Lytechinus pictus: one gene and its partner. The protein of the gene in region 2 interacts with the protein of the main gene of each other region in a pairwise test. Links are inferred from orthologs where the notes say so. Each region holds a gene or a part of one and is shown on either strand. Other genes may lie near its edges.

Region 1 (7,823 bases), about 28 Mb from region 2:
TTAGCCATTCTAAAAATTAGACCATAAGAATTAGACTATTTGGTATACTTAGACTAAGTGGATATCAAGCAATAATACCTACATCCTGTTCCAGGTCTAATAGAGCTTTTCTGTATGGTTCCAGGACCTTGTCTAAACCTGAACAGAATGTCCTGAGATACAATCCATCAGGGAGTCTATCCACTGGCTTAATTTCTGAAAAGAGACAAGAACATTTCACATTAAGTGTGACCAATCTTACTATTTGCTCATATTCATGATTTATTAAAACAAAGGAAACCAAACTTCATGACTGTTTGTGAGAGAATTTATTTTAGTAATTATTTTATATAAGTTGCAGAACAATAATGTTCAGTGTTGATTCGACTGAACAATAGCATATATAGTTCCCAATTTAATGCTAATGAGATGTATTGTAGGAGATTACTTACCTTATTTTTCTAATACACCTAATACTAAACACTGCCAAAAAGGACAACTTGTTAGTTGAAAGAAATCTTTCTATTTAAAGAATTTTCTAAAGGTTTCATTATTAATATTTATGCCCAGCTATTTCTGTTTATCTCGGGTCCCCTTCCCTATCTAATATAATAAAAATTCCCTGAAACAAATCAACTTTCTAACTGAAAGATTGATTTCTGAAAAGATCTATTGTATCTAATAATACTTAATAGGAGCTTTTATGGAATGGAACAAACTCCCTCTCACAATAAGACAATCCACAACAATCGAGTCCTTTAAGAAGTCCCTTAAAACTCTTTTGTTCTAGGCAACTGCCTTCATTTAATATGTCATTCTGCTTTTTTGTTTGTATAAATATGTTAACTGAAATTGTGAGCGCTTTGGGCCATGTGGGAAAAGCGCGTTATAAATATTGAGTATTATTATTATTATTACTATTATTATGAGATTGAATGCACAATCCAATGATTGCTATTTTGTTCTCTATTGCTAACAAGATCAAACTGGGAGGAAGTATAATTTTCTCACAGAGGGGTGTGCCAAGTCTACAAACTGAATTTCAATGTAGGTCAAAGCATAACAGCACCTCAAAATAGAAAAAAAATCCTTCTGTCTTGTATAAGTTTACCTTGATTATGTTTCCCTAAGTAAGGACTGCCACTGTATCTTTTGATGAAGGTCTGGAGATTCTTATAAATAGCCCCTAAACGACAAACTCTGTTGAGTACACTGACTTCACTCACATGGATAAAAGGAAGATCTGGAACAACCTAGAGGCAAAATAAAGAAATATGATAATAAACACAGATACATGCCTTGAGATTCAAGTATGCTTTCCAAAATTTCTTGGGCCTCTGCCTCTGATATATCCTGGATCCACTCCTGGTCAAGATTACAATGTTAGTTTAGATTATACCGTTTGTTTATGAACAAATCACGTACTGCTGGCTTCATTTAAGGTGTGAAGGTTTTTCTAATTTCTTCTTTAATTTATTGTTCCAAAAAAATAATGTTTTCCAAAGATTGCCATAATTGAGGATGAACTGCAAGGTCTTTTTTCAAAGTATTTTATTCTGTTGGTGCCCTTATTTCATCAAATAATAAGAGGATTGTGCAAATGATGAATTTTGACAAAGTTAAAATTTTGCCGATGGGCTGAATTAAAACTGTGAATTTCATTAGCCCCACCATGTATCTCATCTCTATGGTCCAATCCAATCTCATTGAAACCACTGACCAAGCAATTTTTATTCATTTTCTTATTTCAATAAAAAAAAATCAATGATTTTTTACTACTCTCAATGCACAGTTTATTCAGTCTTAATTAAACCAATTTCAGGCAAACATTACTTACTTTATGAATAATAATAAAATACAACATTTATATAATGCTTAATACAATGTTTCTAAGTACTGCAAACTATCACTTACTTGCTCACTTCTTTTCCACATAAAAGGGTGGTGGGTAACGTTATATTATTGCACAGGATTTTAAATAGAGTTTACAATCGGATCAAAAATTGCAATACAATAATCTTAATTTGATTAACTCAAAGAATCATGGAAGAAGAAAAATTGAAGAAGAGGAAGAAGTAGATAGAGAAAGAGGAGAAAGAATAAGAAATAGAAGGAATAGAAGGGGAGGAGCAGGAGGAGGAAGAAGAGAAAAAAAAGAGAAGAGGAGAAGAAGAGGAAAGTGAGAACAAGCAGGAGGGGGGAGCAGGGGAAGAAGAAGACAAAGACTTTTTCAAAGAGGATGAGGAGAAGGAAGAGGAAGACAGAGAGGACACCTGAGGAAGAGGAGGAAGATTAAGAGCAGAGAAGAAAAGAAAGAAGAAGACAGCGGAGAAGTAAGAGAACAGGAAGACGAGGAAGAAGAGGGAGACAAAAAGGATGAGTAGGCTGTAGGAGGAAGATGAAGAGGGACACCTGAGGAAGAGGAGGAAGAGCTAAAGGAAGAGGAAAAAGGAGGAAGACCGAAGACAATGCCAAGCCCAAGGGGAAGAATCACTAGAGGGGAGGAGAAGAAAAACAAAATGAGGAAGTGAAGAAGGAGAAGAACAAGAACAAGAATATTTACCACAAGACAGTTCCAACCTTTCATTTTCAATTTCATTTCGACGTAGGCCTAGGCCTAGATCATCTATCTAAAACAGGAAGCAAAGCACCTAAAAAAATAAAAGTAAAACCTACCAGCACCTTTCACTTGTCACTCATCACATTCACAAGCTGTGCTTTCTTAGTTGCTACCTCTTTTGCTTTGTTCAAGTTCTTAAAATGTATTGATGCTTTATTTATCATTGGAAATAAATGTACTTCATTCATTCATTCGTTCGTTCATTCATTCATTCATTCATTCGAAATTAGCTTAACATCAATTGGAATGAATGGGACTGGAGTCTAATTACCTGTATATCACTGTGCCCATGTTCCATAAAAATACCCCCAGGAAATCCATTCAGAGCCATCAGTAAGTCATGTAACATCTTGGTTGCAATCTAGATGATCGAATCGAAGAGAAAAATCATGGATACAGACTTCTGCAGAGTCGGAATTGAATATTTATCAGGCCCGTTTCACATTAGGTTAATGAATTGTCTGCAGATAGAGTCTATTGCCTACTAGAAGAAGTTGTTCTTTGAATAATTTATATTGATTTATAAAGATGTATGATGATTCTTTGTTCCTTTAAAATAATTTATAGTTGTAGAATTTATTTTATTTTCGTCTTGCAGTTTAATTTTTATTATTTATTTTCATATTTTATTTTAAAGTACCTAATAAAATCTACTTTTTAGTACGAGCCTGTATTTCACAATCGCGCGAAACTTGTGTGGAGCTACTGTTATCTCTTAATATCATAAACGTTTTTATTAGTTAAAAATAAATTAAAGTACATATTAAAATGGATGAAGTAAAATCTAGCACTTCTTTGGATCCTAAATCCAAGTCAGGAGAATCTGGAAAGTCGGGGGGAGCTGGAAAATCGACTTCCTATGAGATGCCTTGGTAAGTGACTTAGCCTTCGCCCTTGGTCCCATTAGCTATAAAATTTGTTGGTAGAAATTCTAGAATTATTTGGGTCCAGGCCCAGGGGCCTGGGGCCTGTTGCATGAAAGGGTCTTTCGTAGAACCATTCTACGTAAGAACGAGATATCGCTCAACTGTTTCACAAAGCCGATTTGGGCGATACGAAGAATGGTCCTTGGAAAGACACCTCCAGACATGTCCTACGTAGGCATGATCTTCTTTGCACACCGCCCGCCACCGTCTGCATTGAGAGAAAATGCGTTTATGGCAAGCCACACTGACATATCACCTTTAAACATTTTTGGCGCCAAGTTATTATATGGGGGACTAGTTGTCATCAATTTTAGGTCGTCTGTTTGCACGGCAAGACGACCAAAAACAGATGTCATTTTAACTTCTCCGGGCATTATGTCCGGGGGTAATGTTGTAGGCCCAAATATTTTTATAAATATTTTTCCTTTTAAGTTTTATTCTCCGTCCTATCCCCACACCATTTCCATTAATTTTTTTTTTGAAATATCGAAATGGGTGGCACTATCTCTCTGACCCTCATGCTTTCTCATTATAGATAATTAAACAACATGAAAACAAATTTCTTTAAAATAAATTATGTAGGCCTAAGGTAAAAACGTGTTTATAACGTTTAGCAAAAAAAACACGATACAAAACTAAAATGTTAAACATGGTAAATCATTCATTTATTTTTATTTCATTTTCATTATAATTATTTTTTTTTGCTGAGATTAATTTTAATCAATAAAAATTAATTGTCGGATTTGGGCTAACTGGAGATGTGAAACAGTGAAACAAAACAAAAAATCTGCAGTAACAAAATAGCTCATTGAATTTAAGATACAGATTAGGCCTATAGCTTACGAATCCATCACAATTATTACAAATGAAGATAAGCTAGTTCATTAAAGAAAAGATTATGGAAAGTCCATACAAAGAGGCGCATTTTAAATCGTAGGGTAGGCCCTTTTCGGCCCCTATGCAATGTTAAAGCAATAATGTAGTCTCTATACTCCTCAACTTTGAAATGTTGAACATATATATTTTTTATATTCTTAAACCTTATATTCTTATATAAGCTTCCATAAATTAAGTGATCGACTTTAAAGATGACCAACGTTTATGATCATTGTAATATTTAGCATTATTTCTGTAAATAGTATTTTTTCCATTGCGGATTGCACACCGTTTTCTATGTTTTAATTGTTATTGCAAAGCACTACTTTATCCACTTGGACATGTTTGCATATTTTCCTTGTCTTCTGTTACTCATCATGCAACTGGTATGTTTATACCCTAAACACTCATATTTGTATTTCTTGCGTTATATCTGACAAATAAAATAAATAAATTAGATTTTTCACAGGCAGCCTCTCATATTTTCCATTTTAGTCTCATACAATCAGACACTGTTGATTTTGTTTACTCCATTCAAACCCTATTTTTACCTCAACAGATAACTTATTCACGCATAATTTGCAAAATCATCATTATATATATGTATTCAATAAAAAATCAGTATATTGAACTAATAAAATGTCGAAATTACTTAGTTAAATCAATTTTTATGTCGGACAAGGGTCTGTTTCGTTTAAATATCAATGAAAGGTGTCTCTAAAAGGACACTGTGTTCTAAATAAAGAAAATAATGAAAATTTCGATTTTATCCAGTTATGTTTGTGAATCTTGAAAGTTTTTTCTGTTTTTGCCTCATAAAGTACGCTCCATACATCAATTCTACAATCGGTAATAAATAAAACATTATTTGATCCCCTTTTATTGAAATATATGATTTTATGAAAAGCCGTCATTCCAAAATAAAAGGTTCAGGTGACGATGAAGACTAAATATTTTTCCGATACTATCGATATCAAACGATGTCACGGACTTGAAAGACAAAATAATTGCATTCGTGAAACGGAAAGCGCTGATTTGTCGCCAATCTTCCTATCTCGGAAGAATGGTCCTAGGACGTTCCTACGTATCGCTCATCTCGTCATGCAACATGCCCCTGTTTCACGAAGGCAATTTTGTCTTTCAAGTCCGCGACATCGTTTGATATCGATAGTATCGGAAAAATATTTAGTCTTCATCGTCACCTGAACCTTTTATTTCGGATTGATGACTTTTCATAAAATCATATATTTCAATAAAAGGGGATCAAATAATGTTTTATTTATTACTGATTGTAGAATTGATGTATGGAGCGTACTTTATGAGGTAAAAAGAGAAAAAACTTTCAAGATTCACAAACATAACTGGATAAAATCGAAATTTTCATTATTTCACTTATTTAGAACACGGTGTCCTTTTAGAGACACCTTTCATTGATATTTCTACGAAAGAGACCCTTGTCCGACATAAAAATTGATTTAACTAAGTAATTTCGACATTTTATTAGTTCAATATACTGATTTATTATAGAAAACATATATATAATGATGATTTTGCAAATTATGCGTTAATATGTTATCTGTTGAGGTAAAAATAGGGTTTGAATGGAGTAAACAAAATCAACAGTGTCTGATTGTATGAGACTAAAAAGGAAAATATGAGAGGCTGCATGTGAAAAATCTAATTTATTTATTTTATTTGTCAGATATAACGCAAGAAATACAAATGTGAGTGTTTAGAGTATAAACATACCTCAGTTGCATGATGAGTAACCGAAGACAAGGAAAATATGAAAATTGCTGCAAACATGTCCAAGTGGATAAAGTAGTGCTTTGCAATAACAATTAAAACATAGAAAAATGTGTGCAATCCGCAATGGAAAAAATACTATTTACAGAAATAATGCTAATATTACAATGATCATAAACGTTGGTAATCTTTAAAGTTGATCACTTAATTTATGGAAGCTTATATAAGAATAAGGTTTAAGAATATAAAAAATATATATGTTCAACATTTCAAAGTTGAGGAGTAGAGAATACATTATTGCTTTAACATTTTAGTAGGGGCCTAAAGGGGCCTACCCTAAAGTGAAAATGCGCCTCTTTGTATGGACTCATTTCCATAATCTTTTCTTTAATGAACTAGCTTATCTTCATTTGTAATGATTGTGATGGATTCGTAAGCTATAGGCCTAATCTGTATCTTAAATTCAATTAGGTATTTTGTTACTGCAGATTTTTTGTTTTGTTTCACTGTTTCAGTACATCTCAAGTTAAGCCCAAATCCGACAATTAATTTTCATTGATTAAAATTAATCTCAGCAAAAAAAAATGATCATAATGAAAATGAAATAAAAATAAATGAATGATTTACCATGTTAAACATTTTAGTTTTGTATCGTTTTTTTTTTTGCTGAACGTTATAAACACGTTTTTTTACCTTACATAATTTCTTTTAAAGAAATTTGTTTTCCTGTTGTTTAATTATCTGTAATGAGAAAGCATGAGGGGTCAGAGAGATAGTGCCGCCCATTTCGATATTTCAACAAAAAAAATAATGGAAATGGTGTGGGGATAGGACGGACCATAAAAGAAAACATATTAATTAAAAAAAAATATTGGGGCCTACATTACCCCCGGACATATAAAGCCTGGAGAAGTTAAAATGACATCTGTTTTTGGTCGTCTTGCCGTGCAAAAAGACGACCTGCAATTGATGACAACTAGCCCCCATATAAAAAATAACTTGGCGCCATCCCAGATAAAATGCATCAGTGTGCAACCCAAAAAATGTTTAAAGGTGATATGTCAGTGTGGCTTGCCGTAAACGCATTTTCTCTCAATGCCGACGGTGGCAGGCGGTGTGCAAAGAAGATCATGCCTACGTAGGACATGTCTGGAGGTGTCTTTCCAAGGACCATTCTTCGTATCGCCCAAATTGGCTTTGTGAAACAGTTGAGCGATATCTCGTTCTTACGTAGAATGGTTCTACGAAAGACCATTTCATGCAACAGGCCCCAGGGCACTCTAGGCGACACCCCTATTCAAACTCAAAGCAGTGTTAAAAAAGGCGGCGACTCCAAACGAGTACGTTTTGGCCTTGAATTTCCAGCCCATTCCTCTAAATTACGGCCTAAATTTAGGTCTAACTTATTTATTATATGTTATTGTTAATTTACCATGTTTACTAATTTTAATTATATTTATAATGTAAAATGGGTACTCACCGTTTTTTTCCAAATTTTGTGTTTTCATCCCCTCTTCTGGCCAACTCTTGCGACAGCTGTTGTCACCATAGGATCCTGTACATGCAAATCCAGGGCGAGTTGTCACATGACGCTCACGAGTCTCTAGGCTTTTTGGCCTTTATTCAAGGCGTTCTTTTTGTTAAATTTTATAATGACGCTTATAATATCGAAATCA
Region 2 (7,781 bases):
CACCAAACACATAGACAGCATCATTGTATGCCACAACGGTATGCTTGCTCCTCCTGTAACAGTGAAGAAAGAGAATTATATTCACACGTAATAAATCACCAACATGATTTCTTTTTAAACCTATAATACACATCTAGACAGTGGTCAATAACATTCAATAAGCAATGAAGGTATAAACTTAAAGGGGAAAGAAAGAAGTTGCAGTAAACAATTACTATATGATAAAGTCTTTAAAATCAAGGTTAAATGCCACGATATTATCAAAGATCTAGTTCTGGTACATTGATATAAACTTATCTCTAAGAAATCATTGAATCTTAGCTGAAAACCGGTAATTCTGATGATCACTTACACAAAAGTACATACATGTATGTGGGAAAGTGTATATTTTTCATAAAAATACCATACATATTATGGAATTCCTTGCTTATTTTGCTCATTTTTCAGCAATTCCAGATATTTTTTCTGAGCTATTTGGTACATATTTTTTTATTTATACATATTCAAACACTTGGGTGGTAATTTTATTAGATACTGTTTGAACTCATTTTGAGATCGTTACCACTGCTGGTTCATGTATTTATCTTTAACATTGCAGATTACATTCTGCATAGACCAAAAGCTTCAGTCTCTGTATTTTGGTTGTTCCGCTGAACTACGTTGGCTCCACTCACCATACATAGACTGAAGGGGATGGGGCCCCGTACCTACAGCCAACGTATAGTGAACTAGCGTTTTATAGATCGCGATTTAAAACTGTTTTTTAAGCAAAATTGAAAGTTTCATGGTTTCCATTATCAGGGAAATATATATAACTTAAGTAATTGCATACCTTGGGCCGGAGTTATTGAAAAAAATCCTCTGGATGATTGAGAAATCTGTCATCTAAGACATTTTCACCTGACCTGACGGTTTTTCTTGCAAGTTGCCATCTTGAATGACGTCATTGTCGTTATTAACTTAATGTCTCGAATCGATATATCGCGATTATAACTAGTACTCGTACTAGTATAACTAGTATCGTTTATCTTCGGTTTCGTTCGCATATGGAGCAGATCGTATAATATCGAAAGCAATATCGATATCACATTCGTGATTGTTGACGTTCGTTTGTAAATATTTTATAGTTTGGCTGCCATTTTGAAAATTTTTATCGTGTTCAACCCAATTAAACATCGGTAAAGTATATTTTTCATGCCTTTTTCATCTATATCGTTTAAAGTATTTAAATGTTGGAATATCATCAATTAAAAGTTTGTTGTTTATACATCCTTAGATTGTAAATTCGATGTGTAAAATTACATCAAACTTTGGACTGTGAATTGACAAAAGGGAGGGAATGAGAACACATGCGAGCCCACACGTACACCCTACCGTCGGTAAATGGGGATTACAGTAAAATGTCAGAAATTGTTGAATAAATCCCCAGAAACGACGGTTATTCCTGTCTACATTCTGCAATGAAATAATAAATTTTGCAAATTTGATTCACACTGTCACACACCTTATTACAAAAATGTTTAAGTGAGTACTAATAAACTTTCATATGGTATGCAAAATTTGAGGTTGATGTCCATATTAAGTATTTAAAGTGTCTTTGTCATTATGTGTTCTGCTAAATCAAAGTCATTTTTCCAACGAATAAAGATCCTCAAAATCACAACTTTTCTTTTAGGGTTTTGATCCCAAACTTTTGCAATTGGGCTACAATATCCTTTAAACCCTTTTGGCAAACATTTTTATAGTTCAACACAAAATTACACTTTAAATTTATAAAAATATTGGCCAAAAGGGTTTAAAAGGATATATTGTAGCCCATTTACACAAGTTTGGGCTCAAAACCCTAAAGTTGTTATTTTGAGGAGCTTGAATCGTGGGAAAAATGATGGTGCGTGTACTGCAATGGCATGCCGTCTGCGTCCCTGGTTCTGTGGAGATTGGCTAGGCCCCTACGTACAATGTAGTAAAGGAGCCTCCTGGCTAGTCCGGCTACCGTGCTGGACAGCACCTCTACTGCTCAAAATCTCAGTCAAATCATTATGTTGGTGTGACCTTAATTCGTGCATTACCTAATTTTGTGCAGGGTCGAATATCTCAATATCTAATCAAAATCTTGAATAACTGAATATTACCAACAGAGAAAGCGACCCAAAATTACCTAGCATGGTAATTATTTTGAAGGTAGGGTCTCATTTTGTGAAAATATTGGCAAATTTTGTTACCTTGTGCGTCCACTCCGAGAAAATCTGAACTTCTCGAGTCATCTTCACATGCACCAAGAAATCGCTAGTTTGCAAGGAGAGGTCTCCAAAGAAGTAAATGTGATACCAACCAAATTTATGGCATTTTAACTTCCATCTGATACAATAACCTTACCTTGGTCTGCTTGATTTCTTTTCTAACGTTAAATCTTTGCAAAACAATTGTGCGCAAATTAAGGTTACATTTTTTTTAGTTTTAGCGTGCACTAGTCGATTGTCATGGAATTTTGAGATCACGATACCAGCAAAACCCTTGACCTACCGGCACTTTATAATTCTGTCAAGCAAATTTGACTTTAGTTTATGATCTTGCCCTTCTGCCTGATATTTATGATTTTAATGAATTTTATGTGAAATTCTTGATTGAAAATCAACTTTATAATTTTCAAAATATGCACAAATTATGGTCACCCCATCATAACTTTGTTTCGTCTGTTTCGCCCCATCCAGCTGGACTATGTCTTGCTTCAGTTCACCCCACCCCGCCCCGCCCCCTCCCCTAATTTCTGTCTCACCTTGCGCCAACAAACTCATCACACTCGGGCATCTGTCTCCAGCGATGCACGGTTTCATATGGGCCAGAGTCAATTGTCACGTCTTGCCAGCAGTGAGGCTCGTATTTACGACCATCTGCCATAGTTTATGACATAAATCCTGATGAAAACCTGGTCAACAATTGCTGTAGGATACCAATCACGTAAATTTGATCGCAGAGAGTAAAATTATGTGCTTTGAATGCATCAATTAATTCCAGTCCTGCAATATCATGAATATAGCACTGCTCAATTTTTGGTCAATGGGTGTCGCCATTTTATTTTCAGCCCTCTGGCGTCCACGATGAGAACAGTTTTTGACCGACCCTCGGCCTCCCGCGGCCTCCTCCTTGCATGCCTCAGATAAAAAAAACAAAAACAATAGGCCTACGGTACTTACCGTATCATACTAGAATAAGATCTAGATATGTCTATCATAAATTAGTATTAATGTATTATAAGCATACATCTCGATAAATGTCTTGCCATGGCTGGAATCTTTAAAAAAATATTGTAAATTTATTTCGAACAATGGTACAACAACTTGAATCATCCCTGGTGATCATAATTAAACAAGCTCTTTAAAAAAAATTATTAACGCGTTAAATTTCCTGAATAGGGATAAAAACAAAAAGTTAATTCATGACCTTTATCTTAATTTCAATAAATTACGGGATCTACTTGTCACACGTTAACGAGCAATGAACTTTGAGAAGACATAACATGAAAAATATAATCTAAACTTGTGATAGATTTTGACATAATATTCAGAAAATACCTAATTGCCGTTTCCTTTCCTTTTTATCCATTTTTGCCATAATGTTTGCTCACTCTTGGTGCCAGTGTGTGAATGCATCGAATTGTTTTCATCCACACTGCAAGCAGTGAGCAAGAGCGAGCGTCATGTTTTCAGTCCTTTTTAGCTACATCCAGTGGCGTACCGTGGGTCACGGCATTGGGGGGGGGCACCAGCAAAAATTTCGAGTCACTTAGGGAGCGCGCGAAGCGCGCTCAGTTGTCAGGTATACTGACCTAATAGAGATATTTAAGGACATGCAGTGCCATTAAACGGATATGTATCTCACTGATTAAATAGTGCGAGCTGAAAATTTTTGATATTCAGAGCTAAAAAGGGACATTATAAGCAATTTTTTTTTTGTAATCATGATACATAACTGTCTCGCTAAACAAACAATGCGAGCGCGAAGCGCGAGCTAAAATTTTCATATACATTGACCCTAAACAGGGAAATTTTAAAGACTATATTTTAGAATCCATTAAGAGTATAAATATCTCACCATAGTCATCTAATGCTCATGCCATCCTTTGCTGATTTTATTAGAATTACATCTAAACACAGATCATGAAGCACCTTTTGTAGTCATTGTAATCATGATTAAAATACGCATCTTACTAATCAAATACTGCAACTGCATTTCACTAACTAAATGATGCGAGCGTGAAGCGCGAGCTGAAAATTTTATATATTCAGATCAGAAAAATTTCATTTAAAGGACTGATTTCAGGAGTTCATGAAGAGCAGAAATCTCACCAATCCACTAATGCGAACGTTAGCACGGACAGGAAATGTTTTATATTAAGACCTTAAAATAGGGCAATCACTTTCAGTAGTCATGAAAAAGAAGAATATGTCACTACATAACACAATAATAACTCGAATTGCAAGGAAAAATATATTTGTTGTATATTGATTTGAAAACGGGAGGTTTTAGTACAACAGGATTATATATCTCGTTAAACAGTCTATGCGAGCACCATGAACAATTAAGACACAATGAAGCAAATAATGTTCCATAAAGTTATGAACAAATGCTTCTTATGTAATATAACACAATATAATATAACATTATAATGAACAATAATATATTCTTTCCCCACTACGTTTCTCTTCCTTTTTCCCTCTTTTTCTCATTTTCCCCTTTTTTTTTGCCAGCCGATTGGGGGGCACGTGCCCCCATGCCCCCCCGTAGTTACGCCACTGGCTACATCTGCATGCATGAAAAAGCAAATAATTTTATAAATATCATGAATGTTGAAATGTGTTACAATCAAACAGGCGTAGGCTATATTGTGATTTTTATCATTGTTTTATTTCCTGTAATTTCCTGAAATTACGGTACTTTATGGAGAAAGTCGCCCCAGAACTCAGTATCATCTTTTATCAATATCAAGTAAACATGGGCGGCAGAACCGGGGGGAGTGGCAGGTGGCACTTTCCCTACCCCAAAAAAATATTTTTTGAATAAATAAACAATTAATTCCTCACTGAGGAAAAAAAAATCCCTTTTTCAAAATGATACACCCTTTTTGAAGTAAAAAACATAATGCATTTTAGGTTGCAAAATCACACAATTTTTAGCACTCGCTTTGCGCTCGCATCAATTATTATTTAAAAAGGTATAGTACTCATTTTGTTATTGATTACAAAGAGCGCTTAGAATGTCCAGTTTTCAGGTTGGAATATTACAAAGTTTCAGTTCGCGCTTCGCGCTCGCATTCGATTGGTGAGATATGTATCCTTTTAATCAGTCACTACATGCAAACCTTAATTATCAGGAGCCTTTTTCTGGTCTTATATAAAACATTTCAGGTAGCGCTTCGCACTCGCGTCATCTTTAGTTAGATGCACAACTTTTTAATGATAATAAAAACTGCTTGGAATGTTTACTTTTCATGTCTTATTAATAAAAGCCTAAATACATATTTTGTCAATCAGAAATCACTTTAAAAAGGCTTTGCTCAACTTAATTACTACACTACAAAACACACAACTACTTCACGCAGCTTATGGTGAATATATATATGTATATATATATATATATAATGCCAATTTTGACATATAAGTGTCCTTTTTGGCTCCCCCATACGAAAATACGTTCCGCCGCCCCTGCAAGTAAATAACATGACCTTCAAAAAAGCATAATAATTTATGATAGTAAGAATAAATTCTACTTGTAATCTCAGCATATTTACATTTGTATAATATTTTGAGCGTCAATCATTCGAAACTGAACAATAAGAGATTTTCCAAAATACATCAAACAAATAGTAAATCCTATACAAATTGATGCTATAAATGACACCCTTATCACCTTGAACCCCCCCCCCCGGACAGTTGATATTGTGTTTTGGTCGATGTGCACTTGATGAATTCTATGAGATTATTCCTCAAAAAGGATTAGAAAACCAAAACATATCCTCAAAAAAATTCGCGTTCAATAATGTACCAATAATCTGTATAATCGACGGCAATAGAAACGATCAGTATTACGACAAATTTATCAATATATCCGTCGTATTTTTGTGTGATGAATACTTAACATAGACATTGAACAATAAATTGTGTCGGCTTGTCTTTATTTCATTGATATTCGTTATTTTTCTCATAGATAATTGCCGCTTATCAATCATGATTAATAAATCATTTTTTAAATTCATTCATGATCATACATAATAGGCTACAATTAAAGAGAATGATCCACCCCAAGAAAAAAAAATGTAAAAAAAAATTGTAAAATCAAACAAAACATAACACTGAAGGTTTATCAAAATCAGATAATGACCGTCTAGCAGCACTTTTTAGCCTTCTCGGAGCTGAAATAATGTCCGACCTTGCATATTTATCAGGATATTCATATATCACCCGTATCACCCATAATTCTCTTAAACAAAACCCCCTATTTTAGTACTCTCATGAGTCACAAGTCAACAATGTGAATATTTACCTCGCCGAAACTTATTGACCTTAGATGACCTATACAAGGGATATTGGTGATTAGTCTGCAAGCACAGACCCTGATTGAAACTTCAATCACCAAGTGGGTGTAAGACAAGACTACCACAAATGCAAATTCTGCCCAAAGTTGAGAAATGCACTCAGTGCACATCTCCATTATGCAGCCCCGATATGGGCTTAAAATTCAGACCACTTTTGATAAACTGCGGGCTCAGTGCCTGCAGGCAAAACGCCAATATGAGAGTTTGAGAAAAGGCTAAATCCGAAGTCTTGTGAAATCGATGAAAAGGGAGCCCAAAGATAATAACCCATGAAAATATAAACAAAGAAATGTAGTATTGGACATCGAAAGTGTGATTTAATTCAAATAGGGCATAATGAAAGGGAACAATGAACATATTGTTTGTTTTCCTAAGATTCATTTCGTAAAACAGGGCCGTATGGTGATGGGGGGGGGGGGGAGGACGTGTAAAAATTTTAGAAGAAACTCATAATCGAGGGGGTAAATAGACCAAGCTTGTCATTTGGGCGCTTTCGCATTTTCTAAAGTGAAATTGAAGGACATTGAGCACTCTTTTGGTGAATTAAGTGTAAAAAAATTCAGTAAAAAATTTAAGTGGGGGGGGGGGGGGGGGCAACTGCCCACTGCCCCCCCCCCCCCCCCCCCCCCCGCTGCGTACGGCCATGGGAGTACACTGGAAGATGATACTAGACATTGGATAATTGATAGGTAATTTTAAAAAAAATAATTTTGCAGCACACGCACAATCGAATGTAAATAGTTGACAATATTTTATTCACTTCTATAGAAACTGTAATGTAGGCCTATAATTATATATGAATGTAATTCATGATTGTGAGCCTAATCCTGTTAATTCGGGGTTACAGCCCCTTGTGCATGATAATCCAGATGTTTCATAATAGTGTTTTCATTAGAGGCCCGTACAGGTTAAACGGACATATTCATATAGATACATGTACATAATTATATATTCCTAGAATAATTAAAGGAAGCACAACTGAGAGAAAACGGATGGTTGTGCGTTGAACTTCCTTCCTCATTCATTTTGATTTATTGTTATTAAGAGTCTCAGAAGCACGTGAAAATTATTTGACACATCTTCCAGAATAATTCATTACTTCCTTCTCCTCTTCGTTATCTATCGACGCTCATGGCCATGGAGTGCTAATATGGGGAGGAGGGGGGGGGGGGTAATGTTAGGGGCCACT

What was found. The genes of interacting proteins can lie anywhere in the genome.
Region 1: the proteins of leucine-zipper-like transcriptional regulator 1 (region 2) and gamma-tubulin complex component 4-like interact in binary tests that used the Homo sapiens proteins (3 or more experiments, as listed by UniProt). The link is inferred for Lytechinus pictus from reciprocal best matches to the Homo sapiens genes LZTR1 and TUBGCP4.

Annotation. Positions count from the first base shown.
Region 1 is NC_087246.1:1,561,806-1,569,628, forward strand, and holds the start of gamma-tubulin complex component 4-like, read right to left. Parts: upstream 3,083-7,823; 5' UTR 2,949-3,082; coding exon 2,871-2,948; intron 1,233-2,870; coding exon 1,091-1,232; intron 196-1,090; coding exon 83-195; intron 1-82. Other genes in the region: replication factor C subunit 2-like, read left to right, coding at 3,368-3,471. UniProt on the Homo sapiens protein: Component of the gamma-tubulin ring complex (gTuRC) which mediates microtubule nucleation.
Region 2 is NC_087246.1:29,177,798-29,185,578, reverse strand, and holds the start of leucine-zipper-like transcriptional regulator 1, read right to left. Parts: upstream 3,090-7,781; 5' UTR 2,899-3,089; coding exon 2,777-2,898; intron 54-2,776; coding exon 1-53. UniProt on the Homo sapiens protein: Substrate-specific adapter of a BCR (BTB-CUL3-RBX1) E3 ubiquitin-protein ligase complex that mediates ubiquitination of Ras (K-Ras/KRAS, N-Ras/NRAS and H-Ras/HRAS).